Drosophila melanogaster: one gene and its partners. The protein of the gene in region 4 interacts with the protein of the main gene of each other region in a pairwise test. Each region holds a gene or a part of one and is shown on either strand. Other genes may lie near its edges.

Region 1 (9,008 bases), on a different chromosome or scaffold from region 4:
GAAGGGTAATTTAAGACAAAAACTGCACAAAAAATTATATTTGCTATGTTATCATTTTCGGCCAATTTCCAGTAGAAATGCTCTTAAAAAATTTCAAAATTCTTCAAACAATAGAATGCCGATTGTATGCCAAAATTGATTAGTTTTTAACCCATATCAATGGAGTTATTTGTCCAAATATGGAATGTCATACCTCGCTGAATTCGTCACAAAATTCCCTTTCGAATGGCATTCACAGTTTAAAATGTAATTTTTTGTCCATTTTTCGCAAAAAATTATGATTATAAAAAATCAGAAAATTCGAAAAAAAAAAAATTTTTTTTAATTATGAAAACGTTGACAGGAATCGTTTATTTGGATCATAAGTTTTATAAAACAGTAATTTTTTTGAATGTGTGACCATTTTTGGCCAAGTTATAGGATTTTAAATTCTTCGAAAAAATCATAATTTCGGCTAAATGAATCCCCAATTTTGCAACAAAAACTAATCCTTTTTTGTTCATAGCAATGAAGTTATTAATCCAAATACGGAATGTCATACTTCGTTGAACTCGTCACCAAATTCCCTTTCGAATGGCATTCACAGTTTAAAATGTAAATTTTTGTCCATTTTTCGCAAAAAAATTAAGATTATAAAAATCGGAAAATTCGAAAAAAAAAATTTTCCAGAAATAAATATACGAATTTCGGGATCGTTTATGTGGATCATAGGCTGCACAAAAAAGTCATTCTCTTGGTTGTGTGATCGTTTTTGACCGCGTTATAGCAAAAACTCCTCTAAAAATCTTCAATTGAATGTATCCCTCAGATCTTACGTACGCCCATATAGTCAGCATGTCGCCCTTCGAGAACACGCTGGTTTCCTACAATCTGCCGGGCAGCAAGATAGTGGAGGCCATGGAGTGGGCCCTGAGCAAAGTGGACCTCGAGAACGGGGTGACCGGATCGTACATCAATCTGCAGTTCTCGGGCATCCGGGCGAAGTACGACTACACGAAGCCGGTGGGATCGCGTGTCATATCCGTAACGATTCGTTGTGCGGACTGCGAGGTGCCCAAGTACGAGCCTCTGGTATCCGACAAGCTCTATCGCCTCACATCGCCCAACTTCCTGCAGGCTGGTGGCGATGGCTACACCATGCTCGCCGAGGGCACTGACCTCCAGTACGTACATACAGGCAGCTCATCTTGTGTCCCATGTTGTAATACCATTTGATTATTTACTGATTTCAGGTGGGGAGTCACGGACTTGGATGCCCTAATCTCGTACAGCAATCACATCAATCCCATTTACCAGGGCCTCGAGGGACGCATCACAGTGCTCAACTGATTATACATACATATGTATTATATCCATAATGTGCAATAATTGCATTTTCCACAATAAATTTATCAGGGAAAGTACACAAACATATCTTTTCTCTGGAAGATTATTGATGCTGGGGAATATGTTTGGAGGCAATGGTTGCATAATATAATCATATACCATTTAAAATCTCCCAAAGATGATATCGTTCTACAAGCCATGGTGCCTTGGCAACTCGAGATGAAACCCATTGCCGAGCGGACAGTGGGCCAGAGTCGCGTGAATCTCCAGCAGAGTCAGTGCAGCAGTGGGGAATGCAATCTGGGTAACTTCTTCACCGATGCTATGCTTCATGCGGTAAGTAGTGGTGGCTTCAACCCACTTGCAACTGACCTAGTCCAATGAGAATCTTCAGTTTGTCAAGGATGCTTCATCGTCGTCTGAAGAGAGTTGGAGTAACGTGACCATTGCCTTGACATCAACGGGAACTTTTCGAGTGCCTATTCCAGCTGGCAGTGAGTCCTGAAAACAACATGTATACCTTAATCGAACAATAAGACTAAGTATATCACTACAGACATCACCTACAAGCAATTGTTTGCCATGTGCCCATGGCAGAATAGACTGGTGACCCTCAGTCTGCGTGGTAAGCACATTGTGGAGCTGCTGGAGCATGTGGTGGCGCCCATGAATGCCAGTTCGGCCACGCCGCGTTCCTCCCGATTCCTCCAGGTTTCCGGTCTCCGTATCCGTTACGATTTGAACGCCGATCAGCGAGTATTCAGTGTGCGAGTAAGATGCTCCAAGTGCCTGGTGCCCAGGTATATTCCACTCGATTTGGAGCACAAGTACCGCGTGGTCGTCATGGAGTACCTGGCGAATGGGAAGAACGGATTTAGCGTAATCAGCGAAAATGCAGAAGATCCAGAGTAAGCATGTTAAACAATGTTGATTTTGAATAAAGTATTAAAAAGCTTTTTTTGCCAGGTTTGGTCCTTTCGACTTGGACGCCTTAATGGACTACATGAACTCCACCGGGCCAATTACGACTGCAATCGAGCAAAGGATTCAGTTTGTAACTACTTAGACTTTATAGTATGGTCGAAAAATGTAGTAAACCTATATAATAAAATATACATATGTATGGTTTCATTTTGAAAAAAAAAAACTTAGGCGCGAAACTATCGCTTTCCGCATCTAACATCTCTAGCATAACGTATAAAGCTTGCTGCGATAGTTATTCATTATTATATAATTGGATTATTAATAGTTGCGTTGGATTTGCATATTTGCTGTTAATACATTAATATATTAAATTGTTTTCTTTTCTATGGAAACCAGAAAACTTATTTATCGGCGAAAGCTCAATTTATTATAAATATTACTTGAATGCGAGTCCCCCATATGGCTGCCGATAATATTCGATTGCCCGACGCAAGCAATCGATAAGCGCCGGCTATTTTCGATGGCCAACGAATGGTCACACCGATACACATTAAGGTTAGGAAGTTCGGACCGCCTGTGCGCACATTTCGAAGCGAGTAAACTGTGGTGAAGTGGGCTTGTTGTTTCACATCAAATAGAATCGGAAGCGTTCGCTTAACTGTCTTGTCAATAATTCGCAGTACCAGTTTAATTCACAGTAAGTTCTAAACTTTTAAACAATTTCCAGAGCCATTCCCATTTGCCCAATTGCATTTCAAGTTTGTGTGCAAGTGTGTGTGTCCCATTGGCGATTATATAAGAGCGAACAATCTGGCCGATAGCCGGCAAATCGTGTTTCCAGAATGTTCTGTTCATTGATAACTGGAAAAGTAAACGATGTCTGCATTGTGCAGTAAATGATTACATTCCAACAAGAATTTATTAAATCCACCTCAAAACACACAAACACGCATACGGGCGCGCACATTGGAAAGCTGGTGGAAACTCAGTTGCACATGTTTTCCACTGCTTGCCGGCAATTTCACATTTATCAGACGGCATTGCATGTGCTGCTACTGCTTGCCCTGCTTCCTTTCTTTCTTTCCACTCTCGTTTGCGGAAATCTTTGATTCATTGAATAACATTCCCTCCCATTTTGGGAGCTACATATTAGTCTTTTGCCCAAGTGCTGGTTACATAAATCGTTTCTTCTGGAATGCTCGGTGCCAAGATGTTGTTCGTTCCCCGGGGGGTGGGGGTGGGCACTGGAATGAGGGGGCCTGGCCGGTACAGTGGAGCCTCGCTGCTGCAACGAATTAGTTTACATAATACTATCAGTAATACCTAAACTCATTGATTTGGTTTAATTTTTCAATTCAAAATAATGATGTTTATAAGGATGAGCAGAATCCATGTAAATATCTCATGTTGCCTGTGTTTTTAGAACTATTTCATCATTAAATTAGATAGAAACAATAGGTGATTACTGTTTAAATTCGTCTTATATTTTATTTTATTGTATTCACATTAATAACAACCTAAAAAAAAAACATTCTTTCTGCTTATGCAATTCTCACAGAGATATTAATTAGTTTATGTAATTTTCGAAAATTGTAATTTTTATAAACCGAAACTAGATGTATGTACATCTGTATTTATCTAATCCACGTGTTATATGCCATAAATTAGCTCAATGATTATGTTGATAATGAGTTTTTTGCATTGAGCTTTATTAAAAAAATGTATATTATTTTTTTTATAACTCTTTGAAAATTCCCAATTTTTGGAGCATTGTGCGTTTATGTAATTTCCATAAGTATCCGTGTAAATAACATTCCATTGGCTTTTGCTGTCAGTAATCTGAGAAGTTTACAGCTCTGATTATCGGAAAAGTCAAGCGAACTGCGTGTGTTAAACAGTGCTCACGCGTTGTATTCCCAATTTCACATTCAAGAACGAAGATTTTTGACCTTTGACCCGCTGGAAGCTTATCAACTAAGAAACTCCGGGGTAAACAACTCAAAGAAACCGCATCTTAGTTCTGCCCAAGGCGGAACACGTGCTTTGATTCATCTCTTGCTACCAGCCAGTTCTCATCATACCAATCCTCTCTGCTCTTCCACAGATGTTCCGTTTGCCAGTTTCGCTTGCTCGCTCCTCCATTAGCCGCCAGTTGGCCATGCGCGGCTATGCCAAGGATGTGCGTTTCGGACCCGAGGTGCGCGCCATGATGCTCCAGGGCGTCGATGTGCTGGCCGATGCTGTGGCAGTGACCATGGGCCCCAAGGGTCGCAATGTGATCATTGAGCAGTCGTGGGGCTCGCCCAAAATCACCAAGGACGGCGTCACTGTGGCCAAGTCCATTGAGCTGAAGGACAAGTTCCAGAACATCGGTGCCAAGCTGGTCCAGGATGTGGCCAACAATACCAACGAGGAGGCCGGTGATGGCACCACCACGGCCACCGTTCTGGCTCGCGCCATTGCCAAGGAGGGCTTCGAGAAGATCTCCAAGGGCGCCAATCCCGTCGAGATTCGTCGCGGTGTCATGCTGGCCGTTGAGACCGTCAAGGACAACCTTAAGACCATGTCGCGCCCCGTTAGCACGCCCGAGGAGATCGCCCAGGTGGCCACCATCTCGGCCAACGGTGATCAGGCCATCGGCAATCTCATCAGCGAGGCCATGAAGAAGGTGGGACGCGATGGCGTTATCACCGTCAAGGATGGCAAGACCCTCACCGATGAGTTGGAGGTTATCGAGGGCATGAAGTTCGATCGCGGCTACATCTCGCCGTACTTCATCAACTCCTCGAAGGGCGCCAAGGTGGAGTTCCAAGATGCCCTCCTCCTGCTGTCCGAGAAGAAGATCTCATCGGTGCAGAGCATCATTCCCGCTCTGGAGCTGGCCAATGCGCAGCGCAAGCCGCTGGTCATCATTGCCGAGGATATCGATGGTGAGGCCCTGAGCACCCTGGTGGTGAACCGCCTCAAGATCGGCCTTCAGGTGGCTGCCGTCAAGGCACCCGGCTTCGGCGACAACCGCAAGAGCACCCTCACCGATATGGCCATCGCCTCCGGCGGCATTGTCTTCGGCGATGATGCTGATCTCGTCAAGCTGGAGGACGTCAAGGTTAGCGATTTGGGCCAGGTCGGCGAGGTGGTGATCACCAAGGACGACACCCTGCTGCTGAAGGGCAAGGGCAAGAAGGACGATGTGCTCCGTCGCGCCAATCAGATCAAGGACCAGATCGAGGACACCACCTCCGAGTACGAGAAGGAGAAGCTGCAGGAGCGTCTGGCCCGCTTGGCCTCCGGCGTTGCCCTGCTGCGCGTTGGCGGCTCCAGCGAGGTGGAGGTCAACGAGAAGAAGGATCGCGTCCATGATGCCCTGAACGCCACCCGTGCTGCCGTCGAAGAGGGAATCGTTCCCGGAGGCGGCACCGCTCTGCTGCGTTGCATTGAGAAGCTCGAGGGTGTCGAGACCACCAACGAGGATCAGGTACGATTATCTATCTCTCTTTTCTGTTATTCGTGTATTAATGTCTATGAAATCTCATAACAGAAACTCGGCGTGGAGATTGTGCGTCGTGCCCTGCGCATGCCATGCATGACGATTGCCAAGAACGCCGGCGTTGATGGCGCCATGGTGGTGGCCAAGGTGGAGAATCAGGCCGGTGACTACGGCTACGATGCGCTGAAGGGCGAATACGGCAACCTGATCGAGAAGGGCATCATCGATCCCACCAAGGTGGTGCGCACCGCCATCACAGACGCCTCCGGTGTGGCCTCACTGCTGACCACCGCCGAGGCTGTCGTCACCGAGATCCCCAAGGAGGATGGCGCTCCTGCCATGCCCGGCATGGGTGGTATGGGCGGCATGGGAGGCATGGGCGGCATGGGTGGCATGATGTAAGCGACTGCCACTGACTGGTCGACAGCCGGAGAGGGGGAGGGAGATGTGATGAGAACCGAAACCAGCATACTGTTTAAGTCACGATGTGGAACGATGACGTCGCGTGGTCGGCGGCGAAAGCAGCTCATCAGTTATCAGTCATCAGCAGTCGGAGCGAGACCCACCAATATCTCTTACATCGGTGCATCCAGCCGGAGACACATCACCCACCATTTGACACGCATTCTAATCCTTGATGGAACTTTGTTTTGCTTCGCATTTATCCTTTGGCAAGAGCAGCGCAACATCAGCACACAAATCCAACACAACCGGCTGGGTGTGAGCTCGTCGAGACTGCAGCGTTCGCTCCGCCACACGCCGTCGCCTCCATTGTGCTCCACGTTTTTTTAACTATTCCTTAACTCTATTTTTTTTTACATGTTATATATGTAAAGATACCGCTAGTTGTAAAATATATTAAATAAATCCGAAGTTAAATTGAGGAAAAACCTGGACGGCTTGTATCTCTGGCGGTTCGCTACTGGGTTACTGGCATCCCAAATGAGAAGATCGGTCGTCCGCTTTGAATTGTTGTGCTCAAATTTATATTTGTTGCTCTTTCGCTTTTTTGTTTCTTTTGTTTATTAATTATAAATACATTTAATAAAAAAAACCTAAATAATGTAACGCTTAGATGTTTAAAAGAAAGAAAAATATGTTGCATATACTCCGCATACGGTTAATGGGTGCGGGGCCAGGAGGTGGCCTCTGCCAAGTGGGTGCTCCCGCTGCCGCTCCTACTCCAGCTGATCCCGATCCCGAACCAGATCCTGATCCTGATCCTGATCCCCTCCTGGCGCCGGCGTTAACGATTAACGATGACACAATGGCAGTACGTATGTGATCGATGGCGGCGATGGGTCGTCGGCTGCCCGCGCCGACTCCGCCCCTCGAGGCCTATGGCTATGACTTGTCTGGCGGGAGGAGACTGTGCTGTGCTCCTACGCCAGCTGTTGCTACGTCTGGTGACGCTGCTCCACCCACTCCTAGCACTTGCGCTTTGGCGTGCGCCGCTTGACACCGCAGTTGTCCACCTTTTTGCTGCCCTTGGCGATGGCCAGCAGCTTCACGAGCTTCTTGTGCGAATCGCCCACGATCCAGCCGTGCTTCTGGTACGTCTCGTTCTCCTCGAAGTGTTTACCCGGCGACGGTGACGCCTCCTCCGGCTCCAGTTCCGTTCGTTCGCCATCCCGCTGCTCGCTGCCAGCTCCAGCGCCGCGGGATTCACCGTCAGCGGCCTCCGTCTCGTCGTCCAGGCGTCCGAACTCATCGTCGCTGGAGCTGCTCCAGTAGTACAGCTGCTTCTCGCTGGCTGGCCGCTTTCTGCGCGCCGGCGACTGGCGGCTGGTCTGCGATTTTCGCTTGGCCTTCAGATTCTTATTGCTGCTGCTGCTGTTGTTGTTGTTATTGGTGGTGCTGCTGGGGGTGGCGACAGAGCTACTCCGCGGATGCGGTGCAGGCGGCAGTGTCTGCTGCTGATTGCCGTGCTGCCGCACCTTGCTCCTCTCTCTTTGCGCTTCCGGTGCAGCTGCGGGCAGTGGTGGTTGTGCTGGTGGCGGTGGTGTTGGCGCTATTGGTTCCTTCTCCGTTTCATTGGCCTTCACCTTAGGCTGCTGCCTGGAGCTGCGCGTCCTGTCTGGTGGTTCAACTTCCACCTCCGCCTGCTCCTGCTCCTCCTCCTCCTCCTCATCCTCCCTACTTTCCTGCACCCTTGACTTCTCATTAAATCGCTTTTTGCGATTGTTTGTCGCCTTGGTCACTGGAGTTTTGCTCTTGGCCGCTGCTTTGGACTTTCCCCTTGCAGGCGGAGTTAGCACTTCTGGCGCAGGCGCTGGCGGTGCCTGGACAACAGGAGGCACATGTGCTGGTGCTGGCGGCGGTGGCTGGTTCCTTTGCCTGGCACGTGGTTTTGGTTGCTCCGGCTCGGCAGGTGCAGCCTTCTTTTCGCTGGCGCGATTCTTTCGTTTACCTGCAGTCGCCTGTGGCGTCTGGGCTTTCTTGCTGGCCACTGGCGGAGCAACTGGCTCCGGCTGGGTGTTCGCCTCGCTGGTCTTGCGCTTGCGCTTCTGTTCCTGCTGCTCCTTCTGCTCGATCAGGGCTATGATGTCCTTGGTGCACAAGAACTCCTCGTACTCATCGGAGCTCCAAGTCTCTACCAGCTTCTTGGGACGATTGGTGGCACAGCGACGCTTAGACTTGCGCTGTCCCTCGTCGATCAGCTGCTCGATCTCTTCGTGACTCATGCCCAGTTCGGACTGCAGCTTGCTCAAATCCTTGCGTGGCTTGCGATTGGACGAGGAGGAAGCAGGTGCAGTGGCTTCCACCTTTGATTTCCCCTTTGTCTTGGTCGGTGCGGATTTGTTGGCTGGCTTCTTGGCCGTGTTGGCCGTGGAGTTCTTCGGCTTCCTGCCCGGTGGCAATGCACTGGGTGCTGGCATGGCCGCCGGCGCTGCCGGTGCTGCTGGCGCCGCCATGGGCTCCACCTGATGATGGTGGTGGTGGGGGTGATGATGGTGCTGATGATGCTGCGGCTGCTGCTGATGATGATGGTGGTGGTGGTGTGGCTGCATCTGCTGCTGCTGCTGCGGATGATGCCGATCCCAGTTCTCTTGCACCATTGTGGGTGGAGCCTCCATTTCCGATGACTTGGCCGCTCCGCTACCGCCACGCAGCTCATCGAAGATCTGGTCGAGATTCGCTTGGTTCTTGGGCAACGCCTTGATCTTCGCCATTCCGGGCACCACACTGGGACCCGGAAGCAGTGCCGCAGATGGAGCCATCACTGGCGCCGCCTTGGCACTGCTGGCGTGCTTAAATATCCGTCCCATGA
Region 2 (6,896 bases), on a different chromosome or scaffold from region 4:
TTTGGTATTTGAAATGCGAAAGGCGAGTTTTAAGCTCATCTTAAAGTTCAATTGAAATGAAAATGAGCTGCTAGAAAAACCACGCGTTCGTTTTACATAAAAACCTTGAGTTTTCCTTTTAAATTAGTTCATATATCTAGATAGTTACCAACGGGAAAACACGATATTCGATTCAATGACGGCGTGAATTTAATGAAACATTATAGTTTTAAGATCTGCCTGTATTTGCCCGCAATTGAGAGGACTCGAAACTTTGCTGGCTTGTCTGTTCTGAGTTATGACAACTTTTCAATAAACCAACGATGGTGGAATTAAAACACCTCCCAGTTCCCGGCGCCCCCAAAAGTATGCCCCATTGGGCGCGGTGGGAGGTCACGGGGTTGAAAAGCATAACGAACAAACCCCCCACCCCCCCTTCGGAATTTATCACCATAACGACTATGCTAAGCGGTATAAAAATAGATACCTCGGGCATTCCTTATATTGCCAATTACAAAACAGCGGGCGGGGAGCTAGTGCACTGCGAGAAAATGTCTGGACTGCAAATCGCAAGGTATTCCATTTCTTTTTAAGCTTTGAATTTAACAGTTACTGAATCGAATTTATTTTCTAAACAAATTGTGCTTAAGAATCCTTTAAAGTAATTCATTTCACATTCATGTTTTTTGGCTAATGATATTTCAGCTTAGTCTTAAACCTATTTTATCTTATTCAACCAATCTTTCCATCTTTTTTTGTGCCTTGCTTTACCATGTTATTTTTCTCAGTGCACAGGAAGATTGTTTACATCTCCCATTCAGAATCAATCGCCGCACTAATCCAATTTGTAGCGCTGCCGTCACGCAATTCGCCCCTACAACCTGACCGTCCACCTACACAAGTATTTTCCATCCCAATCACAGCTGCTGCCCCCCCCCCCCCCGGAAAATCCAAAAAAAAATGCAGGTGGAAAACTCACCGTTTTTTTGCTGCCGCGGATGTGGCTGCGGATGCTGTGCGTGGGCGGAAGCGGTGGCGGATGCGGATGCCGCGCTGACGTGCGGATCCGGGGCGGAAGAGGATTCGGAATCCCAGGCCCACGCAGGATTCTCAGGGACCCAGAGCTTGCTGCACTGCATCCGGGGATGTGGGAAGATTCGATTTGGCGTCCGTCTTCTTATTTACTTTCCGCGGACTGGCTAGTGGTGGGCAGGGCGGCGATGTAACATCGATAGCTCGCCGTTGTAACGGCAAGCCAAGTCATCGATGGCGCACCAGCGAAGTGCCATCTCTAGAAAGTAAGCAAATAATTAACGTATTTATAAATATTTAAAGTTTATATCTAGCTTATAGTTCCACTATTCGAACCTTCAATTATGGCTTATTTGAGATCATTTTTAAAAATATTTCACTTTTATAAAGATTTTTGGGCAGAGGAAGAAATCATCTCATATTTTTAGCTTTTATATTTATCTTTATTTATTACGTTTATTATAAAAAGTGCCTGCTTAATTTGAAGCTGAAATAAGAATCTTGTGATTCACATTTATTTCACTTAAGGATTATAGGATATTTAATGTTGCCTAATTCTACCAATGTTTCGATGATTTGTGCTTAAATGTTGCAAAAAACAAAAAGTGGAAATAAATAAGTGAACTACTAAACTTTTTAGCGTACGAATTTCAATTCAAGAAGCAAATAAAAAAAAAACTCAATTAGAGGGAGACCTTTTACTTACGATCTAGATGCTTCAGTTTATCAACTAGGCATATCTAATGCGATTAACTATTTCCAGGTTGGCCAACTCCTTACAAACATACAGATCCCGATGGCGACTCTAGTCGCCGCTGGAAGCGCAGCGGCCTGGTATGATTATATATATATATATATGTATGCATTTGCAGTTGCAATCCGGAATTTACTTCATAGTCCGGGCATTACGTAGGCGATGTTGTCGAGCGTGTCGGCCAGATTTTTGCTCAACTGCACATTGTTCTCCATGCCGGGTATTTGCGTGGTCATGCAGAGCAGCGGTCCCATGGCGCAGAGCAGGCTGTCGAGGAGCACGGACAAGCTGCCCGATAGCGCCACGTATCCATTGTGCTTCTTCAGTCGCTCGCCAATCACAGTCAGGCTCTCGCCGAGCAGCTTCAGATGTGCGGCCGCATCGATCACTTCGATGCTGGTCTTTTGCACCTCCTCCTGCTTCAGCTGACCCCCAGTCCGGCCGCTGACGTCCGCATCCGTGTGCACTTGCGCTTGTTTCGTCGCGCTCTTCGAGACCTGCGACCTGGCACTTCGTGTGCTGATGCTGCGCCGCTGTGTGTTGGTGCCAGTCGCTGCTGCTGCCGCCGCTGCGGCAGCCGCTTCTATTGAGGATTGCTGCCGATCGGCGGCCAGTTTTCGAGTGCGACTTGTTGTCGCACGGTTCTGAAAGATCGTCTCGTGCTGCGTGGCATCTGCCAGAGCCGTGCTGCCGTTGCTCGCCGGCTGGGTTGCACCGTTTGCAGCGGTTTTGTCGCGAGTTTTGGCCCTGGACGCCTCGATTTTGGCCTTGCGCCGCCAGGTGTTCTTGTCCCGATTGGAAACGTTCGCCCACAGCTCGCTGAGGCGTCTGGTCGCGCTGGTGAAGTCTGCAAGCGTGCGGGGAATGGTCAATAAGCGATAGAGAGCGCACAGATGTGTAGCAACCTACCTAGATCCTGGAGATCCTTCTGTCGCGCCTCCTTGGCCCACAGACTGTAGGCGGTGTAGCGCTGCTTGCCCTTGTCCTTGCGCTGCACCTTGGCACTCACCACCTTGCCGTCCTTGAGCACCTGCCGCTTGTTGGACTTCTCGCGCATGTAAAGACTCTGACGGACGGATGACTCTTGGCTGGTGGCCTCCGCCTGGACACCATCGACGATATCCTGCACCAGATTGTCCAGTTCATCGTCGGAATTCAGAATGGCCACGACCGTTGCCGTTGTATCCGGATGGAATTCCTCGCTATCCGAGATAATGCCATCATCCACGAGCATCTCCTGGTCAAGATCCAGATCACGCAGCGCATTCGATGGCCTGCCGCGGCCCGAATATCTGGCTGGCTGTCTGGCGCCACTGTGACGCCTTGTGCGCTTCTCGATCTCATCCGGAGATTCAAAATCCAACAATTTCGACGATTTTTTGCGTACGCGTCCGCTGCGCGAAACACCCGTCACCTGGAAATCTAATTGGGAATTTATGACCCCGATTCCATTGACGGCTGCCGCTTTTTCCACTCACCCTTGGCCACCAGGTGCGAGGTTGGGGACTCCATGTTTGGATACCTGCTTTGGAAGATTGGGATGCAATTTGTTGCAAAAAGAACGAATTAAACGAAGCAAACAAAACAGCTGTTTGGTGTGACCAGAGCTTTAAAACGCGATGCATTGCAAGCGATGGTTAAATATGGAACACTAGATAACCATTTTAGTTTTTGAATATATTGCTAAGTTAATAACCATTGCACCAGTCAATTGTACAGAGTAGGAAACCATTAAACTTAATTATTTAATAATATAATATTTTTTATTGTTATATTATTTAAATTATAAGCACAGGATGTGCACGCACAACTTAATTTTTTTATTATATTATTAATTATTTTTATAAACAAAAACATTTACGATATATACGACTGCAATTTCATTTTTATTACAATACATCTAAATTAATATCCAGTTAGCTTGCAAAAACCATCAGCTGGTCACACTGCCGCACCTTTGTTTTGTTTCGACTTTTTTTTTTGCTGTTTGAAAGCGGCTTTTAGTTTATCGATTTGCTTTGCACCTAACTGCGCCAAGCGCCCCATGGCACGCGATTCTCGCCGTTTGTGAGTCGTTTCGCCGGTGGCCCCCAACCCAAGGACATTTTGGCCCCCAGCCGGCCGTATACGCATTTGGCGTTGACCCGCGTCCGCTTTTTTCATGACCAAAACGGCGGCTGCGATTCAAACGAAGCTCAAGCGCAAGCAAAAACATTCGCGCAGCGTCAATCAATCGAGGCGGTACTTAATCGGGTTTAGAGCTATCCATAGCCATGTCAGCGGAGAGGAACAAGAGTGGCGAAGTACGCAGTGCAGCTGGAGGATTGGAACTGGCATCTGCGAGTGGAGCAAGTGCATCCGAGACGGACAATGTGAGCGCCCTTGAACTGCAGTCCAACAAGCGCATGCTGTACTTTAGCGACGGCGTCATGGAGGAGTTGTCCTCGGGCAGCGAGGACGAGGCGGATGCGGAAATGGGCGACAAATGCTACGACGTCCATTTAAACGAGGTACATACATTCAGCAAGGATTATGGGTGGAGTAATGCACTTCCGGCCATCCATTTAGTACATGGTCATGTAGCTGCATTGCTTGTTTACCTTTTTTAAAGCGGGATTGTCCGGATTAACACAGTTAGTTAAATTTGCTCAAGATTAGCCCAGTTCTCCTGATCCAGATAATAACTTTTCACTTTGAGCTCGAGACGTGACTAATGTTCGAAGCGAATTATGATAATAATGTGAGAAATTTTATATCTTTCAATGAAAATGTGTGTTTTGAGCTGTTTAAGTAAACAAACAGGGCCCAGGGCCACGAAAAAGATAAGCAGCTGCCACCCCCCGCCCCCCTCCTCATTGACCATTTAGCGTGACTCATTTAGCCCGCTTTTTTTTTTTTTGCCACCTTTTAGAGCGAAATGCCGCTGGGACCACGCCTGCGTTACAAGGCCAGCAGGATGGGCAACCGATTCCTGGCCGGCATCGACTATGTGGGCGGTGGGCTGGCCCACCTGCTTGGTATCACCAGCAGCAAGTATGCCAGCGAATTGGAGAACTACCACAGGGCCAAGGAGCACGGCGACGAGGACCTTGACAATTGGCACCCGCGGGCCATGTCGACCACGACCAGTAGCAGCAACAACAACAGCAGCGGCAACAACAATCGCAACGAAACCATCGTCCTATGCGAACCAACACGCAGCGAGGCGACCTTGCCACCCACACGGCAGTAGGCGCCCACTGGGCCACCCACTTGCCAGGTGGGTTGTGCAAGGTGGCGATTTTCTTGGCAGGAAGGCGAAACAAAATGCTCATGGAGTACTGGCGACACTTGGAGACTCTTTTACTTGGTAAAAACCATGCGAAACGAAATGAATCAAAACAGATATTAACTTTTCGACACTTTATTCGCTAGCAAATAAGTTATACATATACATATATGATAATAAAAAAAATACACATATAAAATACAATACAATACAATACATATACTGTTAGTCGCGGGCTCCATACGATTCGTATTAGCCCGCAATTGTATAAAGGTTAGTTAGTTTCTTAGCTAGTTAGTTGGACATTTAGAAGTAGGACTTTTTCTGTGCGAAAATCAGCAGAAGTTGAAGGAAAACCCTCAGTAATTCCGCCAAAGTTCGTTGCTGGAAAAGGACTCTTTTAAGGTAATTTCATGATATTGACTCGTTTCAGTTAAGTCCCTAAAGCTAATGGCACACTGAATACAATTAGGCATTACGGCTACGATTGCAATTGCGTTTTTTTTTTTCGATTGTTAAGTACACTTGTTTCGGCATCGGGAGAAGACAGCAAAGTTGGAAACCTAGTTTCTGGTTCCCATTTTTATTTTTTTGTTTTTGAAGACATGAACATGCGTATCACAGTATTTGGTTGCTGCGCGTTTCTCTCTCTCTCTAACTCAAAAAAAAAGAATTTATATAAAAATGCTAAATATATATATGTATATATGTGTTATGTACGCAAAGGCGACACACATTAAGTCCTAATGTCTAAAAGGCAAGAGCGATTATTGAATTTGGTTACACCAAAATGGTAAAAAGGCAACGCAAGGGGCAACTAATTAGGAGCAACATTAAGTACACACAGGAAAATAGGATATGAAGCCCATCTAGGGCAATTACAAATACATTGTAGATGACCTATGACCTCGCGATAAAGGCCCAAACTAAAGCACTAAGAGCACATTTCCGGGGTTATATACACAGTACATAGATCGGTTTACCCCATTGTGTTCTATGGACAGGCAAAGCAACTAAAATCGAAATAACGATATCGTTATCTCACGATCGTTTTATGACAAACAAATTGGACCGTTTCCCCACCCATTTAAGTTGCTTTGCCTCTTTCGATACCCGAAACCGCATTAAGTTATAGTAGAGGATTGACTTTGGCACAGCAGCTGCTGCAGGAACATTGACTGGAAGCAGGAAGCATTTCCTGCCCTGAAATGGTACCTAATCCAATTCCGTCTAGAGTAGCGTCTCATTGCCATACTGCTGCAAGTGGGGATAGTAGCTGCCGTGCTGGCTGTACTTTTGCGAGGCATAGCTACCTGGCGGATAATACAGCCGATGCGAGGATGTGGAGTGATGCTGGTGATTGTGGTGGGGATGGAACTGATGATGCTGCTGCTGCTGGTGATGATGATGATGCGGCGAATGGCGCTGCTGGTGATGCACGCTCCTGCCCAGCGAATAGTTGGACATCTGATTCAGCGATATAGAGCCGGTACCAGGCGAAGTCTTCAGTTTGTACGGACTTGGCGGCAACGGAACACTGGCCATAGAAGTTCGCACCGAATGGTAGGAGACCACCGTGCTATTGCAAGCCGCATGCGATCCACGCGAGCTACTATGCCCGTCCAGGTGTCCAGTTGCTGCTCCGGCAGACGTATGCTTCACCATTTTGCCATTGCTGACTTGCCTCTTGTAGAGAGTGGAAATGCTTGGTCCAAGTACCCAGGCAAAACAGCAAATGCCCAGCATCAGTTCCATGAAGGCGCGCAACAAAAATGGCCAAAGTGGCGTATTGGTATCACCCGATCCCAGCCAGACATCGATGTTGGCAAACTCGTAAATGACAGCCAACAGAAGCATGGCACA
Region 3 (8,343 bases), on a different chromosome or scaffold from region 4:
CTTAAAAACAATATCCTCTTTGGTGTTAGGCGTTAAATTACTTTTAAAACTCCCCGCCTTCATCTGTATTTTCAAAACTAAAAGTATTTTATTGGTATATTCAGTAAACTCAGGTCACACTGCCGAACAGCTGATCGACTCGAAGGTTTTGTTTTTATTTTTGCAAGGGCTGTTTCTTATCATTGAGTTAACCAATTGTAAGAACAATAACTACTATTTATCTGTACTTATATATAAAGAATATTATTCATCTCGCATTTTTTAGTTAAATGCTAAGACGCACAATGGCGGAATTCGACGTCAAAGCCGGCCTGCAGCACGTGTTGAAGCGCATAGACGAGGTGCTCCTCCAGCGGCCCAAAGTAAGTTAACTTAAGACCCACTTATTAATGACCTCTTAAATGAAAAACTTTATCTCTCGCACAGGAAGTTCAAGCTGCCAGGCCGCTGCTCGTTGCTGTAAGCAAAACAAAGCCAGCGGAGGCCGTAATCGAGGCTTACGAGGGCGGACAAAGAGACTTCGGTGAGAACTATGTACAGGAGCTGGAGGAGAAGAGCCGCCACCCGGACATTCTGGCCAAGTGCCCCGACATCAGGTGGCACTTCATAGGCCACATGCAAAGCAACAAGATCAACAAGGTCAATTGGATAACCAAGATCGGATAACAGCGTTTATCTCTTATCAGCACCTCTCTTTATCTTATTGATCTCATTGTTTATTTAGATCCTTTCTGTGCCAAATCTGCATATGATCCAGACCGTAGATAGCGAGAAGTTGGCCACCAAACTGGACGCAGCCTGGTCTAAGCGACAGCCCACCCCTGAGGAGCCATTGCAGGTGCTCATCCAGATCAACACTAGTGGTGAAGACGGTGAGTCTCACGCCCCCAAACTAGCGACCTTATACTTACTTTCCTAAATCGACCTCTAGTTAAAAGCGGAATAGAGGCGAAAGATGCTCCTGCACTCTACCAGTACATCAAGAGCAACCTTAAACACCTCAACCTGATGGGCATAATGACCATTGGTGCATTTGGTTTTGACTACAGCAATGGACCCAATCCGGATTTCGTGTCCCTAATGCAGGTGCACAGATCCATATGTGAGGCGCACTCCTTGGCCCCGGACTCGGTGCTCGTCTCCATGGGAATGTCCAACGACTTCGACAAGGCGGTAAGCTACAAACCGACTGAGCAAGTTCCGTCTCTAAAATCGAAACTATTCCCTCAGATCGAAATGGGCAGCACAGTGGTGCGCGTTGGCTCTTCTATTTTCGGCCATCGGGCGGCCAAGGTGTAAGAAGGGGAGCGGAGCAGAGATGTGATAGGAATGCGTTGCGGGCACTGAATACAGCCGATTCCCAATGACGTCCGACCTCACGACTGAGCACCTCCAAGTTCGCTCATGTATCAGGTGGAACTGGGTATATTCACACAGACTAACGTAGTAAATCAGCAAATCAAAGATGATTTGGCGTTTAAATTTAGAAACCCTTGAGATAAACAAATGTTATGTGTAGGCTGTTATTTGCCTTATTTAATTGTTAACCCTTTATAAACAATGCTTCCAAAGTGTCAAAACCATTAATATTCCCAGAAACATTCTGCACCTTGGAAAATTGAATACATTTGCCGCAGTTTTCATTAGTTTTAACATTCCTTCGACTGCGTCTTGCTCGTTTTTTGCACTTTGTTCTATTTTTACATTCGCGTATATTCAATGCTACTTTGCGTATTAGATTGTGGGCAGTTTTCCTCTATATCTTCTTGTTTTGGTTGGCCCCAGGCCAAAATGTCGCCTGGTTACGTGCCAAAATGGCTGCGCCATGAGAGTTTTCGCCGAAAATCACTTTCAATGGAGCACGAAGATGACTGCAGCCTAAATCGATTTTCATTATGTCTGATCGATGAATTATGAAGGCTTTCTCGCACGGATCCCATCGTTAATTGAGATATTTTCCGTTTCATAAATTTGCATAGAGCCTTCATTAATTATAATATTAGCCAGCGAGGGTAATGAATTCAGGTGGCAAAGATGACCTCATGTAAATATTGTTTTGAAAAATGTTTTGGCTTATTTCCTTCAGAAAGCAAAAAGTCGAATAATTTGCAGAATGAATATTTCTAAAAAAAATAGATGTAAACTATATGAATAATAATATTTTGTAACACTTGAAACTAAATTGAAATTTCCTGCTTATTTGGAAAACTAAAAATGTGTAAATAAGGCTTTGAGAATCCAATTTGTCGATTGAAGTTGTCACAATTTTACTATTTATTTACTGAAATGGCTTAAATAGCTTGAATACTGCAGTGTTTAATATTTTTAGTAACAAGGTTAATGTATCATGACGTGGTACCCAAAGTTTATCTGAAATGGAAATCCTACAGCCTTCCCATTGTTATGCAATGTCCATGGATGACTAGCATATAGATAAAGTCAGATGTTTATTCCACATTTGTTGCCGAAATAACTCTGGTCCAATATCGGGTTCGTTGGATATTTATGCGACACGAAATCCGCCCGATCGCCGTGTATGTATATACAGATCTATAGATTTGGAATTCTCGGCGCTCTTCATATTGCACAATGTGCGGGGCATTTCGAAAACAGAAAAAGGAACGTAGGCGAGCAAAACATCGAGTATATAGGCGTGAATAGAATACATACATATGCTATATGTTGGCATATATGTATGCTGTCCGCCGCCAAGGAAAATGTAGGTGATTTCAGCGCAAGAGGACACCTTTCGGAGGTGGCCTCTGGCAGAGAGACGCACCGAGTAGTGAAGCAGAGCAAAATAAAAGAAAACAAAACAGAATCCGAGGATGGGGAAATGTATCCACAACAGAGAGCCGCTATATGAACCAATCCGAATCGCCCCGAAATAAATTCCGAACATATGTATAGGCTTCTGCTGCCCAAAAGCCAAAGCCAAAGCAATTTCTCTGCCTTTAAAATTAGATTTTTGATTAGAGCAGCGCCCGATGGATGAGTAAACACCTCGGATACAGCTACACCATAGGCTATAGGCTATAGCCATGGCTATATCTATATAGTTGTAGCTGCCCGCCCCCGCCGATCTCCTGGGCGGACCTCGCCTTGCAGATACTAAAAAAGGCAGCACGAATATTGCAGATACGGATACAGCGAATGGCGCCCGAAGATCCCCGAAGGTGGCCGAACCTCCACGAGCGGCCCCAATGCTTGGAAGAAGAAGAGCTCCTCCGAGCTCTTAAAACATCATTGTCTTGGCGATAAAATCAGCCAGAGATTCAGTGTGCTCTGACGGCTCGACTCGATTAGACAACACATCAAAGTTCAGCACCATGGTAAGGACTCGTCCCGGAATATCACTACAATCCAACTGAACCGAACTGAACCGAACCGAATCGAACTGGACCCCAGTGCCTGGATATATGCAGCAAGGATAATGCCGATCAGTGCAGTGAATCGTTTGCATTCGAGAATGACCCCGAGGATATGAATATGAAGTGAACCATAACTCTAAATCATGGTGATCCCGATTCACCTTCTTCACATACGCAGTGAGAATAGTGCAGAAAGTTCTATAAATGGATCGATCCGATCCGAGTGTTACGCGTCAGTAATGTAATCTGATATCCGTGCCGGGGAGCGAGCGAGACAGCGAGTGGCGCACGGCGGAGAGCTTACGTAATATGCGTCCGGTATATTTTTAGAATGAGTGGAAAACTTTCGCCTGCAGATACATATTTTCTGGCCTAGTCGGGTAGGCCTTTTGAAAAGCATACCTTACATCCCTTAAATCCCTATTAAGGGATAACTTTCTACCCATATAATTCCAATTGAAGATCCTTCAACGCGGATAACTTACTAAGATCCCTAAAACGAATAGTATAACTTCCGGAATCGGAACTTTCAAGTGACAGCTAAAGACGGACTATAACGACTAATGACCGAGTAGATACCCCCTTTCTGCCACGAGTCCCTACTAATAAATCCCTCTTTTCTCTCCTCAGGCCGATGAGAAGAAGAAGGTTAAGAAGAAGAAGACCAAGGAAGAGGGTGGTACTTCCGAAACCGCTTCTGAGGCCGCATCCGAGGCAGCAACCCCGGCACCAGCTGCCACTCCTGCCCCGGCCGCATCTGCCACTGGTTCGAAGAGAGCGTCGGGCGGATCCCGTGGCTCCAGGAAGTCGAAGCGCGCTGGCTCCTCGGTCTTCTCTGTGTTCTCCCAGAAGCAGATCGCCGAGTTCAAGGAGGTGAGTTTTGGGCGTTACTCATATATCGCATCATATGTCGGATCACTCGAGACCCATCCCATCATCCTGTCATCCTACCATCTATCGCACTTGTCAAGGACCAAGTCACCAACACACTCTTTCTTTCTATCTCTCTCTGTCTCTGTGCGGGATCGATAGGCCTTCCAACTCATGGATGCCGACAAGGACGGTATTATTGGCAAGAACGATCTGCGCGCTGCCTTCGACTCCGTCGGCAAGATCGCCAACGACAAGGAGTTGGACGCCATGCTGGGCGAGGCCTCGGGTCCGATCAACTTCACCCAGTTGCTGACCCTGTTCGCCAACCGCATGGCCACCTCCGGTGCCAACGATGAAGACGAAGTTGTTATTGCTGCCTTCAAAACATTCGATAACGATGGTCTCATCGACGGTGACAAATTCCGCGAAATGCTCATGAACTTCGGTGACAAGTTCACCATGAAGGAGGTTGATGATGCCTACGATCAGATGGTGATCGACGACAAGAACCAGATCGATACCGCCGCCCTGATCGAGATGCTCACCGGCAAGGGTGAAGAGGAGGAGGAGGAGGCCGCCTAAGGCACATCCGATCACATCCTAACTTCTAACTCAACATCCATTTTACAGCCAGAATCAGAACGTTAAATCAATCAGTCAAATCAGTAATAATAAACGTAATTAAAAGAAACGCTCGTTTACATATGTAGATTCTCAGTATCTTGTAATCTCTTTTGTTAACCATCACCAAGTACCTTGTACCAAGAACAACACCACCAACCAGATCAGCAACATCCGATCAAACTGAACCTCAAAAGAACTTCTTCAGCAACATTTGGTAGCGATCAGAACCATTTACCATGTATCTGTCCATCATAGTTAGGGATACTTACGATCACGTTCACTGTCACGGCAAGAACTGACGCGTAGTTTTCTAGTTGATTTACTGTTAAATTTTACACGTAAAATTTATAAAACATATGCTATCTATTTTATTTAAAACACCTATAAAATCAACAAAAAAAACTTAAAAACAACAAACAAGCCGTGTCTATTTTTATATCGCTGTCCGTTGAAGAACTAAAGAGAAGAACCCCCAGAGAGAGATGATTACCAGATCGAGATCGAGATCGGAATCGAAATGAGGATGTATGATGTATGATTTATGATGTAGGGAGGACGAAGACGATGTTGATGGGTAGCCGGGCTGTATTCGTTAGCCCTGCACCCGCGAGTTCAATTTGATTATGAATATGAATTTTAGCCAGTTTTGTGAGTTACAATGTTTTTCGTTCAAGAAATCTCGCAGGACCAGGAGAGAGAGAGGTAAACCCATAACAAACTATTGTTAGGGATCATTTAACTGAGAGCCAAATATATATCCTACTATCACAAAATATTTATCGTTATACATATCTATCGTTCGTTACTTACTTATTTATCAGTTATGAGTTATCAATATTATTGCAAGTTATCGAGAGTTAGGCTAATAACAGAGAAACATTAAGTTCATTCACTCAAATTGTTTAATGCGAATTTATATAACTTAACCATCGCCACCACCACAACTTTCTGCTTATGAACTATCAGCGATATAAACCACCCAAACGAACAAACAACCCAAAATGATATCTGAAATATGAAGAAACATTCAAATAACAAACCCAGTGTTTCTAGTTAATGCGTTTTGAAGCTTCCAGGATGATACGCCTCCCCGGGAAATAGACGGTCGGGGGGGTTTTAGTTTGAATAAGGTGCCCATAACCACTAGTACCTAGGCTGATCGGAGGAAGCACAATATATTGCCTTATTTATCTAATACTACTATTACTCAGAACTCAACACTTGACACTCGACACGAGCACACACCACACTCACACGCACACTGCAATCCATTTCAAAGTGCAACATGCAACAAGTTGTTAAATGCAAATCGAATCTTTACTTCAGTATATTTTAAGCTACACACGGCAAGATGAAAAAATTCAGAAAACTTTTAACCCGGTCAGGAATATTAACAAGAGTAAAACAAAAAACATCTAAAAATAGAAAACAAGTAACTGTTTTTATACAACATAACTAGATGATGATACGATGACGAAGTCTTGGAATAAAGCAAAAGAGAGTCGTCTTGAAAAAAAAACACAAAGCCATTGAAGTTTGATTTGCTCAGGGAAGGGGTTTTTTGGGGGTATGTAGTACCTTACTGCATATCTGACTCAGCTGAGCCGTGCCGGAAACCAGTTCCAGGTCAAAACAAAACCACCGATAAAGCTGGGGAGCTGAACGAAGCTGTGGAGCGCAGTGGGAAACTCCCCACACTTGGCCAAGACGATGGCCAAAACCGAACACGAACCTTCGAGCGACCAGTTGTCAGTCGAGTTTCGAGGCGCACGCATGCGCACTACGATGTGAAAGTCAGCCACGCTTGTCATTGCCACATCCATTCCGAACAGCGCTTTTCGAATAATCTGGTTACTCAGGGCGTAAGTAGAACCAGAACCATGGCTCCAGGTGGACGACAGCTTTTGTGGATGGCTTCCATCTGCTGGATTGCATCACTAATGAGTGGAGGTGAGTGCTGGGAATCGATTGCATTGTATGCAGATATTGCGTGGCCAAAGAAATCGAAAGTATCTCAGTTTGAGTCTGGAATATCTCACCACACTCTCGAGTGCACTGCAAGAAAAGTGATATACATTTGGGGCGAACTAAGCCCTTATCCTATGCTGTATACTTTGCTTCGAAAGTAAACTAACCTTTTATTTCCAACACTATATTTTATGCATATAATTATATTATTCATTCATATTTCTCTCTCTGCGCCTATGAGATATCTCACCTTACTAATGAACACTCCACTCTCACTATCGTTTTTGTGCCTCTCAGCTGATGCACAGCATCTGATCGCTTATATCTCGCAAAGAGGTCTTCATGGAGAGATCACTTTTCGGCAAATGAATGCCACCACGGTGGAGATCAAGGCCAACCTGGAGGCCACTTTGCAGTACCCCGACCAAGTATGGAGTTGGGGAGTACGTCGCTTCCCCGTGGACTACTCCAATATTGACCCAGACGAACGCTGCGAACTGAGTCGTTTGGGCTCCCAGGTCCTGTCCTTTGACGAGGACTTGGAGTACCTGGTACTGCCCGGAAATGAGACCTCCAGCTGGGAGCGAAACATGCAGTTGATTGGGGATCGGGGAATCTGGGGGAAGTCCCTGGTTCTGACAGAGGTCAACGCTAATGCACGGATCTGTGCCACCATCACCACCATCCAGAGTTCCGTGGAGCACATGGCAGAGGCTCGTTTTAATACTCCTGTCGCTGGATCTGTCCATTTCCGCTGGCTGGCCCCGGCGGAGGGAGCTGTTGGAGATACTCTAATCTACTCGGATCTTTACCATATTAGGGCGCAACCAGCTGCTCTGGAGGAAGATAGAAGTCAAGCTGGACCGTTCACCCAGCACCACTGGAAGATCTATGTGACGGACATTTTCAAACATGACCACCATCGCACGGAGGACAACTGCAACTTCCTGCAGCAAGTTTTCGATCCCCAAGGAAGTGGAGCTGGCAAGGGAATAGGTGATCTGGACGCACGCCTAGGCAGGATTGGAGTGGCCAAGAATGCCCTTCGTTCGCCACAACGCAGCGTTTTTAGGGATGCTCAGTTGGCCCTGCTGCCCTCGGATCTTACCATTCCCCATAGAACTCTTTACCTGGTTCTTTTTGACAACCAACATCCAGATTCGTACCTCGCGTGCACCAAGATTCGCCATGTCCAACCTTTGACACATAAGTGAGTGGTTTTTACAACCCATTCTATTTGAAAGTATAACCATTTTTTTTTTGTTAACCGCAGAACTTTCATCAACTCTGGTGGTGTCAAGGGAGAGGTTACCTTCATGCAGCGCTCCAAGTTCGACCCAACTTTCCTCAATTTCACCTTGGGAGCACCGCTTTCCCAGCATGTCAGTCGCAAGTTCGCCGAAGATGTGGCCGCCTTTCGGATTCACAGTCTGCCGCCGGTGCCTTCGAGGATGGGTCACGAGGACTACTGCCTGACCACTGGGGACATGCATAATCCCCGGGAGAT
Region 4 (7,536 bases):
TATCCGCATAGCGACTATACCGACAATGAAACACCATCGCACTCACGCACTGCCTCAGTGGATTCCGGAGCTCCCGATAATCCCCGTCTCTCTGGTGATTTTAGTGTCGTGGCCGATGAACTACCCCTGGATTGCACTGCACCAAGTCCACTCCATGACAGTGGAAGGACCAGCAGTGCTGGAAGCGAGATACCCGTGGAAACCCTGCCAGCTACTGTGCAAGTGGTGCCCACAGGCAGCAACGAACTGGCCTGCGCCGCCATTTCCCACAAGCTGGGAGCCATTGCCGAGGTAGCCGAGTCCCTGGACGCAGTCATCCGGGATGTCCAGCAGCAGGAGGGCGTTGTTAGCAATGGAATCAGCAATGTCACTGGAGGACATGGCATAAAAAAATTGGGAAGCATTGAGGTAAGTTTAAATAATAAAAATGTTGATTCTTTTTCCGTTTGTGTAAAATGGTACTAATCTCGTCGCTTTAGGATTGGCAATCGCGCTCCACCGAGGACGAATCCTTCGCCACTGCCTCCGAAGGCAACTTTACGCCGAACTCGCATTCCTCATCCTTTCAAACAGCCTCAGGACGCACTAGCTCCTACATAGGATCGGCCAAGAACTCCTTCGATGAGGCGGACGACTCAACTTTAAGCACATTCGAAATACCCGAACTACCACCTTCGCCAGTCAATATGTCCTTTGATAGCTCCGAAATGAGCTACTTCTCCGACCGTCAGCAGAGGATGAAAAGTGAAGATCAGGACAGTGTGGCGGGCATGGCAGAGCTGCATAGTCAGAGTGTAACGCCCACTCCGGACGAGGAGCAGCAACACCTGCTTCTGCCACTACCATTGCCGCAGGCCATCGAATCGGACAGCGAGGTGGAAGGATTCAATTTGGCCACTGGCATTACGACGGAGCTGGCGCCCAGGATGTCCAACGCCCACACGCCGGAGGTGAGCTACACATCGGCCAATAACACCGCTCCGGCTTCAACTAACCCCAACGAATCGAAACCGCCGCCTTCTTGGCGACGCAGCAAATACTACGAGAACATAACGAAACAGACGATCAAGGGATTTCTCTGAGAGATCTGGACAAGCTGTCCCAGTTGAAAGATGAACACAAAACGATTTCCCGCCCAATTAACCAGCGCCATTTGCTTCTCTGCCGATCCTCGACATTCTTGCCATTAATTAGTTGGCATACTATTTTTGCTGTTTTCCCAAAACCAATTTTAGCCCATGAGCTAAAAGTTTTTGTCTTTTTTATTTTGTTTGCCATTTTACTTTGCATGATTGTTCACTGTTTTCTACCAAAATTTATTAGTTCGATTGAACTTTAGCTTAAAAGATATACTAAAATGCCTGCGCAAAAGGTTTTTAAATATTTTATGTTTGAAAAATGTCTTTTGCTTATACTTTCTCTGCTTTAAATATAGTAGTAGAAATATTTATTTAGTTAGTTCAAATTAAGTCTAAGGCTTGCAAAAATTAGAGAATTCCCAAATGGTTAGAAAATATATTTAAAGTAAGAATTTAAATTCACTTACGGCCAGTCGAAATTTTTGCCATTAATCATATGTTTAATATTTATTTATAACTATTTCTCCCACACAGTCACAGTCACAAAACATAGTGCAATTAATATCGAACATGTTTTACCCCAAAAATAAAGCTAATCATTTATAATTTTTTTCAATACCTCCTAACTTTTCAGGTATTTAGTTTTAAATTTTATGCTTAAGCAAGTAAGTAACTCGTAACTGCAAAATTTGAATGTAATCTCGAAAATCCATGAAAACATTGCATAACTTTGGGCTGCATCCGTGAAAAGTCATTGCCATCATCTGCACTTAACCCTTGAGTGCTCTTTTGGACTTTTCCACCCTAAATAATTTTTTTCAATTTCCCTCTGTGGGTGGCCCTTTCCCCCAAACATTTAACAAGTGGTCCTCAAGTGATTTCAATTATCTGAAATGTGAACTGGCAGTGGGTGCAGCGGGGAAATGGGGTTAAGAGGGGTTGGCTGCTTTTGTGAGCTTCGTCAAGTGGCTCATTAATCTCAATTAAAAAACATATAAATAAATCGCTCTGAGTGTGGTGAGTGAGTGAAAAGAGTTTATACTTAACGAGCTGATCATCCAGAAAGGCGAACCAAATATCTATGAGATTCTTTTCATGCCATTCGACCAGATTTTCTGACGTGCCGGCGCTGAAAGCATAATTCGATAAGTTCGAATCGTTGATAGCGAAAAATAATAACACACATCTGCAGCGCATTGATTGCCGCAACTGCTGTTGCACGCAAGAAGCGTCGGATGTTGCACGTTGAATATTGCACGAAATCCGGAGCCAAAGCCAAAGCTGCAAGACACGCATTTTGGGTGAAAAATACTTCATAAATTGGGGTATAGAGCATCATGGGTGGTGAGGGGATTTAAATGCGGGCGGTCAGTCAGTTTGCCTTGCATTAAGACACGATATCGTCTGGTTTCCTCCGCTGCTCTGGTGTTGTTATTTTGATCTTCCACTCTTCACCATGTTATTAAAGTACAAAAGCTGCACTTGAATATGTTGTGGTTTAAGGTACCTCGTCTTATATGGGGTGTATAAGACCAACGAGGAAAAGGTCTAGCCAAGGGGAAAAATCATCCACACATAAGATGTTAAGTTAGATGAATATTCAAAAGTAAATGCGAATAAATAAAGTGAGGGCATAAGAGGGTAGCAACAGTTCGCTTAAAGTTACCCTTTATCATCAGAATTACAGGGTACAAGCTCGCTTCATATCGCTTTACCTTCTCTTCGTATTGTAATTGCTGAAAAGCCGGGCGCAGGGCATTAAAAATTGAAATCATGAATTAACGACGCCGCGAATGCCAAGAGCACTTGTTTATTTATGTCGTCTCCCCTGAAGCCCCGCATCTTGCCTCTTTCTCTAGCGTCTAGCGTCTCCAGCCCTCTCTTTCACACTCTCTCATTTTCAAAATACAAGCCGGCTTTTCAAAACTGAGCTTAGCCAGTGTCAAGAGATCAAAACAAGAGAACCGCTACCTGCATGAATGAATTGAGCGAATCGGTTAAGTTTCATGGGCTGCACGCTCTTTATCTCTTTCTGATCGGCTGTCTCCCGTAGAATCTGCTCAGTCTTCGGTCTCCGGTCTTCAGTCTTCCGATCATTTAGTCAGTCTTGTTCGAAGTTCGCGGCGTTCGGTTGTTCGGCTGTTGGGAAAGCGGCGCGCGCGTTTTGATTTTCCACATCTCCACCGCTCGAATATAATGTGCGAATAAAAACATATCTATGTAAATTAAGTTAGGCAGAAAACGAGGAAGAAAACAATAAATTTGGCACTTCAAAAAAAAAGCGAAATGAAACGTAAATTAATCAGCCATAATTTACCTAGAACATTTTTGACATTCAAAAATGCTTGGCGCTAGTTTTTTTTGCGTTCACTCGTCTAAAGATGAAATCAACAATCTGTGCTAAATTTATTGTTGTTGTCGAATATTCAGTTTTGTGACGACCCTCAGAAAGCACAAACAAAATGTTTAACAAATAGAAAACGACACAGAATGCGCGAAAAAAATATTTTTCAAAAATATTCGGTGACCTGATGCATTGAAAGCTTATTTGTTTGAGTCATGTGCATATTTCAATATACTACAACAGTCCACGCCCCAGAAAATTTCAATCAACAATTTTCCATTTTTTTTTCTTTTAAATTTTTTGGACAACAACATATGGAGGCAAAGCATTTCCTCGATTGCGCTACTGTAAACTTTTATAAAGGGAACTTGTTCTTCCCAATTTTTGGTTTGCTGCTTATTTTTAGACAGCGCAAAGTACAATTAAAATAGTTTACATTACGCCAGCAACGGCGGCGACTATTAAAAATTGAGAGAAACACCAAAAATTACCTAATGGAGGCAGCTGGCTGCACACGAGCATACGCGGCGTATGCGTAATGTATTCAAAAATATCGAAAAATCCATGAAAAATGACTGACTGGCGACGACTTCTGCCAATGCAATTGGCACATGTTACAGATTTGACGAACATCCGCGCGCTTTATCTATTAGCTATAGTAGCCTGTATCTGTAGCATCGCAGTATCTGAGTATCTGGGCTAGAACAACAGTTTAGCTTCGTGGCAGAAATCGCCGCAAAAAATTACTCAATAGTTTGTTGTTTTAAAAATAAACGCGAATCGAGCATTGTCTTTGAGTTTTGGCGGGGCGGGGGGCTACCGAGGTTCTACAACGAGACTAGCACACGCATCAAAGGCAATTTTCTCAGGCTCAATATGCAAAAAGTACACACGATTCTCTCGGCTATATAGCCGTATATATAGACACTACGGAATAATAAACAGACACTAGAGCGACAGGGAGAGCGCGAGTATGAAGTCATAGTCATCGCGGCGGGCAAAAAGAATTCTCCGTTTCGAAAATCTACCGATTCGCGGAGGTTCTCAGACGATCGCCGGCGTTGATAGCGCTCGCAACGAAACGAAGGAACCGCCGAATCGAATCCCCTGGCTATAACTAATCCCAATAAATTAAATCCGAACGCGAGTGACTCAATCTAATAGTTCCACTTTTTCGAGCAGAGTTCAAAATGCAAAACACGAGACACAAGCAGGGGAAGTAAGCCAAAATACGAGAAAAACTAAACGACAGAGATTATAAAACGCCCACGCAAAACACACCAAACTACAAGCACTCACTCAATCCTCGAAAGTTAGTCAAAAAAAAAGAAAACAGAGAGAAGTAGAGACGAGCAGATAGAAAGAAAAGCAACCATGGAACGCCGCCAAGCCCTAGACTCATCGATGTCTTCGCTCTACTCGGTCGCCTCCTCCTCGAATCCCAATCCCCGCCAGCCGCACACCGGCCACCAACTTCAGACGCAGCAATCCCAGCAATCTCAGCAGTCCCAGCTAGACGCCTTCAATTATTCAGCAACAATGTCATCATCGTCGCCGACTCCAAGTCAGGCCATGTCCACAGCCATGTCCACGGGCACGGGCACCGGCACCGGCACCACCCACACCACACCACCATCCTCCTCCTCCCTGAGAGCCACCACCATTGGCACCGTTGTCGTCCGATGCGGACCCATCCAGCTGGTGATAGCGCTCCTACAAGTGAGTTGTACTCTTGTACCCCGCAAACAATAAAAATAGTAAACTAAAAAACGAAACGAATCCAAACAAAAAACACACAGCAAAAAGGCCAAGAAATGGGAAACAAACATGAAGAAACATTTATCTAGATACGGGAGAAGTGTTCGGAGAAAGCTCTTGAAGTGCGCGGAAATTTATGCGGAAGGCGATCTGGGAGGACTTCAAAAGAGATTTGGGACGGGGCATTGGGAGATCTTGAATAAATCATAAATCTAGAAGTGCAGTCAGGTTTCGAAAACACGGGGAAACATCTAGGATAAGCTGTGGTCATTGAAACATCTTATGAAAAAAGTTGCATTCGACTCAGTTTTATGTGAAGCTATAAAAATCCATAACAACCAATTAAGCCAGTCTAAATATATTAACCTTTTTTTTCAATATAAATGAGCTTATCATTTGAATGACGACATAATCTTTGTTCATTATTAATGACAGTGCAATTATATATTTACATTTTTTTCATTTTGCGTAGTGGGGCAAAAACAGTCTGAGAGATGTAAAGCAAAGAAAATAGTTCAATAGATACATTATCTCAGATTGTTATCAAATCATTTTTCAATCAATTTATCACTATAAAACAACGTTCGACTATTATTAAATGGCCCAGCCTCCAACCAAGCAAATGTTCACTACCAATCGGTCGACATTAATTGATAAATTTCTATAATTATCCCATAGCTAGCCCCTTCGGATCTGAGGCAAAACTATGTGACTTTAGCACTGAAAAATTCATGAACTTCTAATGCCCAAAACTGGCTTACAATTTTCGATTGTTTAAACCGGCTTCCAGCGATTTCCGCGCCAATTAGCACTCGAACAACGAAAGCAAAAGTTGTTGATAGCGGTTATAAATATTTGAAAAACGGCAGCAGAAAAACAAACGCCACAAAAGGTTCAAGGTTGTCTGACATCAGAGCAAAGACACAAAAGCCAACTAAACGTGACAAAAAGAAATGTATCTGCCAGATACTTTCGACAATTAGGCGCAGCTGCTACCTGTCTGGGTCCATTTCGAGCTGGCAGAATCAGTTTCTTCAGAGAGAAACTTTGTTTGGGTCTTCTCCGCAGATTTGCCCCCTTTTCCAACCCCTCCAAATCGCTCGAACTTGAAGATGCGACTTGAACTTGAGATTGAGAAACATTTCTGATGAAGCGCTACAAGTTTTATGCCCCGAAACAAAAAACATTCAATAATTATGGGCATCGGTGAATGGTTTATGGGCTTTTGCGGCAAGGGGCAAGGGGACTGTGCCCCTTTTTGCACCACCTTTTCTGTTCATTCAACCAACGGATCATTGAAATTTCGGTGTGCCACTTTGTGCCATTTTTTTTTTTTTTTTGCTGGCCATCAGAATAACTATTTTTGCTTCATATGCCATTCGAGACTCACGGCTCCATGTGTTAAACATTTGATTTGATTTACAACTTTTTCCCCCCTCCACTTTTGATTCTGAAAATTATGCAAAAACATTTTACTGACGAGCCTTTCAACACGTTTCTGTTGTATACGTGTACTCGTGTTTCCATGAATTGAAAACTCGCGACCCCAAAAATATACAGATTTCTTTAAATTTCCGCTGGCCTGCTTGGAAACAGTATTGAAATTCAAAAACGAAACTAAATAATTGCTTACCTGTCGTTGTTTTCGTTATTCTCGAACTGGTCCCAAAAATGCTGTTGAAAATAAACAAGAGCGATTTCTCTCCCCGGTTCTCGCAGGTAAACAAATTAGCAACGGAACAGAGCCAAAAAAAAAGCTGAAATAAGAATAACAAAAGTGTACAAATAAATACACAATATTCCACAATAAAAGCCAACAGATGTGCAACAAACACACACAAAATGAAACAAATGTATGAGCTAAAAAATGTTCGATGAGCTCAGCTCCTTATTATTATTGTTATAAATTCCACGTGGGCGGTGGGAGATTTTTTTCTAGGGGAAGAAAGGCGGCGGAAGTTCTTTAAACTTTGTGCTTCAGCATAAGATTAAGGAAACAATAAGTTGGCAGAACCCCCTTCGTCCCGCGGCTCGTAGCTTAAAACTATGCAAATATGTCAAAAGTTTCCTTCCTTTCTGGGTTTATTTTTCGAAACAGACAACAGACAATTCTTTCAGTTAGTTTATTCTAAACAGAAAGAAATTTCAAGTGGCAAGAAATTGTATTTAAGTATTAAATCTTGGCAAGGATAGTTTTGCTACTATTTTTAAACAATACTATCTGTAATGCGGATATTCATTTTTACCAATTTAAAATTATGAGACCTTAGAACTTTACTTTTCTTTCTGTGTACCCATACTCCACAACTCACAACAAAGTTGAGTTATTAAGATTTTGAATGTTAAGTGCTGGAA

The links.
Region 1: the proteins of zormin (region 4) and Hsp60A interact in a two-hybrid assay, tested with the Drosophila melanogaster proteins (one large-scale study listed by BioGRID).
Region 2: the proteins of zormin (region 4) and CG4617 interact in a two-hybrid assay, tested with the Drosophila melanogaster proteins (one large-scale study listed by BioGRID).
Region 3: the proteins of zormin (region 4) and Mlc2 interact in a two-hybrid assay, tested with the Drosophila melanogaster proteins (one large-scale study listed by BioGRID).

The regions. Positions count from the first base shown.
Region 1 is NC_004354.4:11,105,687-11,114,694, forward strand, and holds Hsp60A (heat shock protein 60A), read left to right. Parts: upstream 1-2,795; 5' UTR 2,796-2,947; intron 2,948-4,116; exon of another isoform or gene 4,117-4,239; intron 4,240-4,354; coding exon 4,355-5,725; intron 5,726-5,788; coding exon 5,789-6,139; 3' UTR 6,140-6,622; downstream 6,623-9,008. Other genes in the region: CG42249 (uncharacterized protein), read left to right, coding at 1,505-1,662, 1,721-1,820, 1,883-2,234, 2,293-2,392; CG11122 (uncharacterized protein), read right to left, coding at 7,165-9,008. UniProt on the Drosophila melanogaster protein: Prevents misfolding and promotes the refolding and proper assembly of unfolded polypeptides generated under stress conditions.
Region 2 is NC_004354.4:7,101,118-7,108,013, forward strand, and holds CG4617 (uncharacterized protein), read right to left. Parts: upstream 3,375-6,896; 5' UTR 3,278-3,374; coding exon 3,244-3,277; intron 3,188-3,243; coding exon 2,675-3,187; intron 2,613-2,674; coding exon 1,903-2,612; 3' UTR 1,718-1,902; exon of another isoform or gene 1,593-1,717; 3' UTR 1,438-1,592; downstream 1-1,437. Other genes in the region: CG8300 (uncharacterized protein), read left to right, coding at 4,039-4,275, 4,677-4,997; fz4 (frizzled 4), read right to left, coding at 6,264-6,896.
Region 3 is NT_033777.3:30,169,473-30,177,815, reverse strand, and holds Mlc2 (myosin light chain 2), read left to right. Parts: upstream 1-3,264; 5' UTR 3,265-3,329; coding exon 3,330-3,332; intron 3,333-4,001; coding exon 4,002-4,244; intron 4,245-4,403; coding exon 4,404-4,826; 3' UTR 4,827-6,378; downstream 6,379-8,343. Other genes in the region: CG1983 (uncharacterized protein), read left to right, coding at 270-362, 427-639, 725-872, 932-1,173, 1,231-1,299; Rsod (uncharacterized protein), read left to right, coding at 6,749-6,818, 7,134-8,046, 8,110-8,343.
Region 4 is NT_037436.4:2,147,351-2,154,886, reverse strand, and holds the start of zormin (zormin), read left to right. Parts: upstream 1-3,186; 5' UTR 3,187-3,277; intron 3,278-4,605; 5' UTR 4,606-4,797; coding exon 4,798-5,142; intron 5,143-7,536. Other genes in the region: CG15822 (uncharacterized protein), read left to right, coding at 1-408, 480-1,082.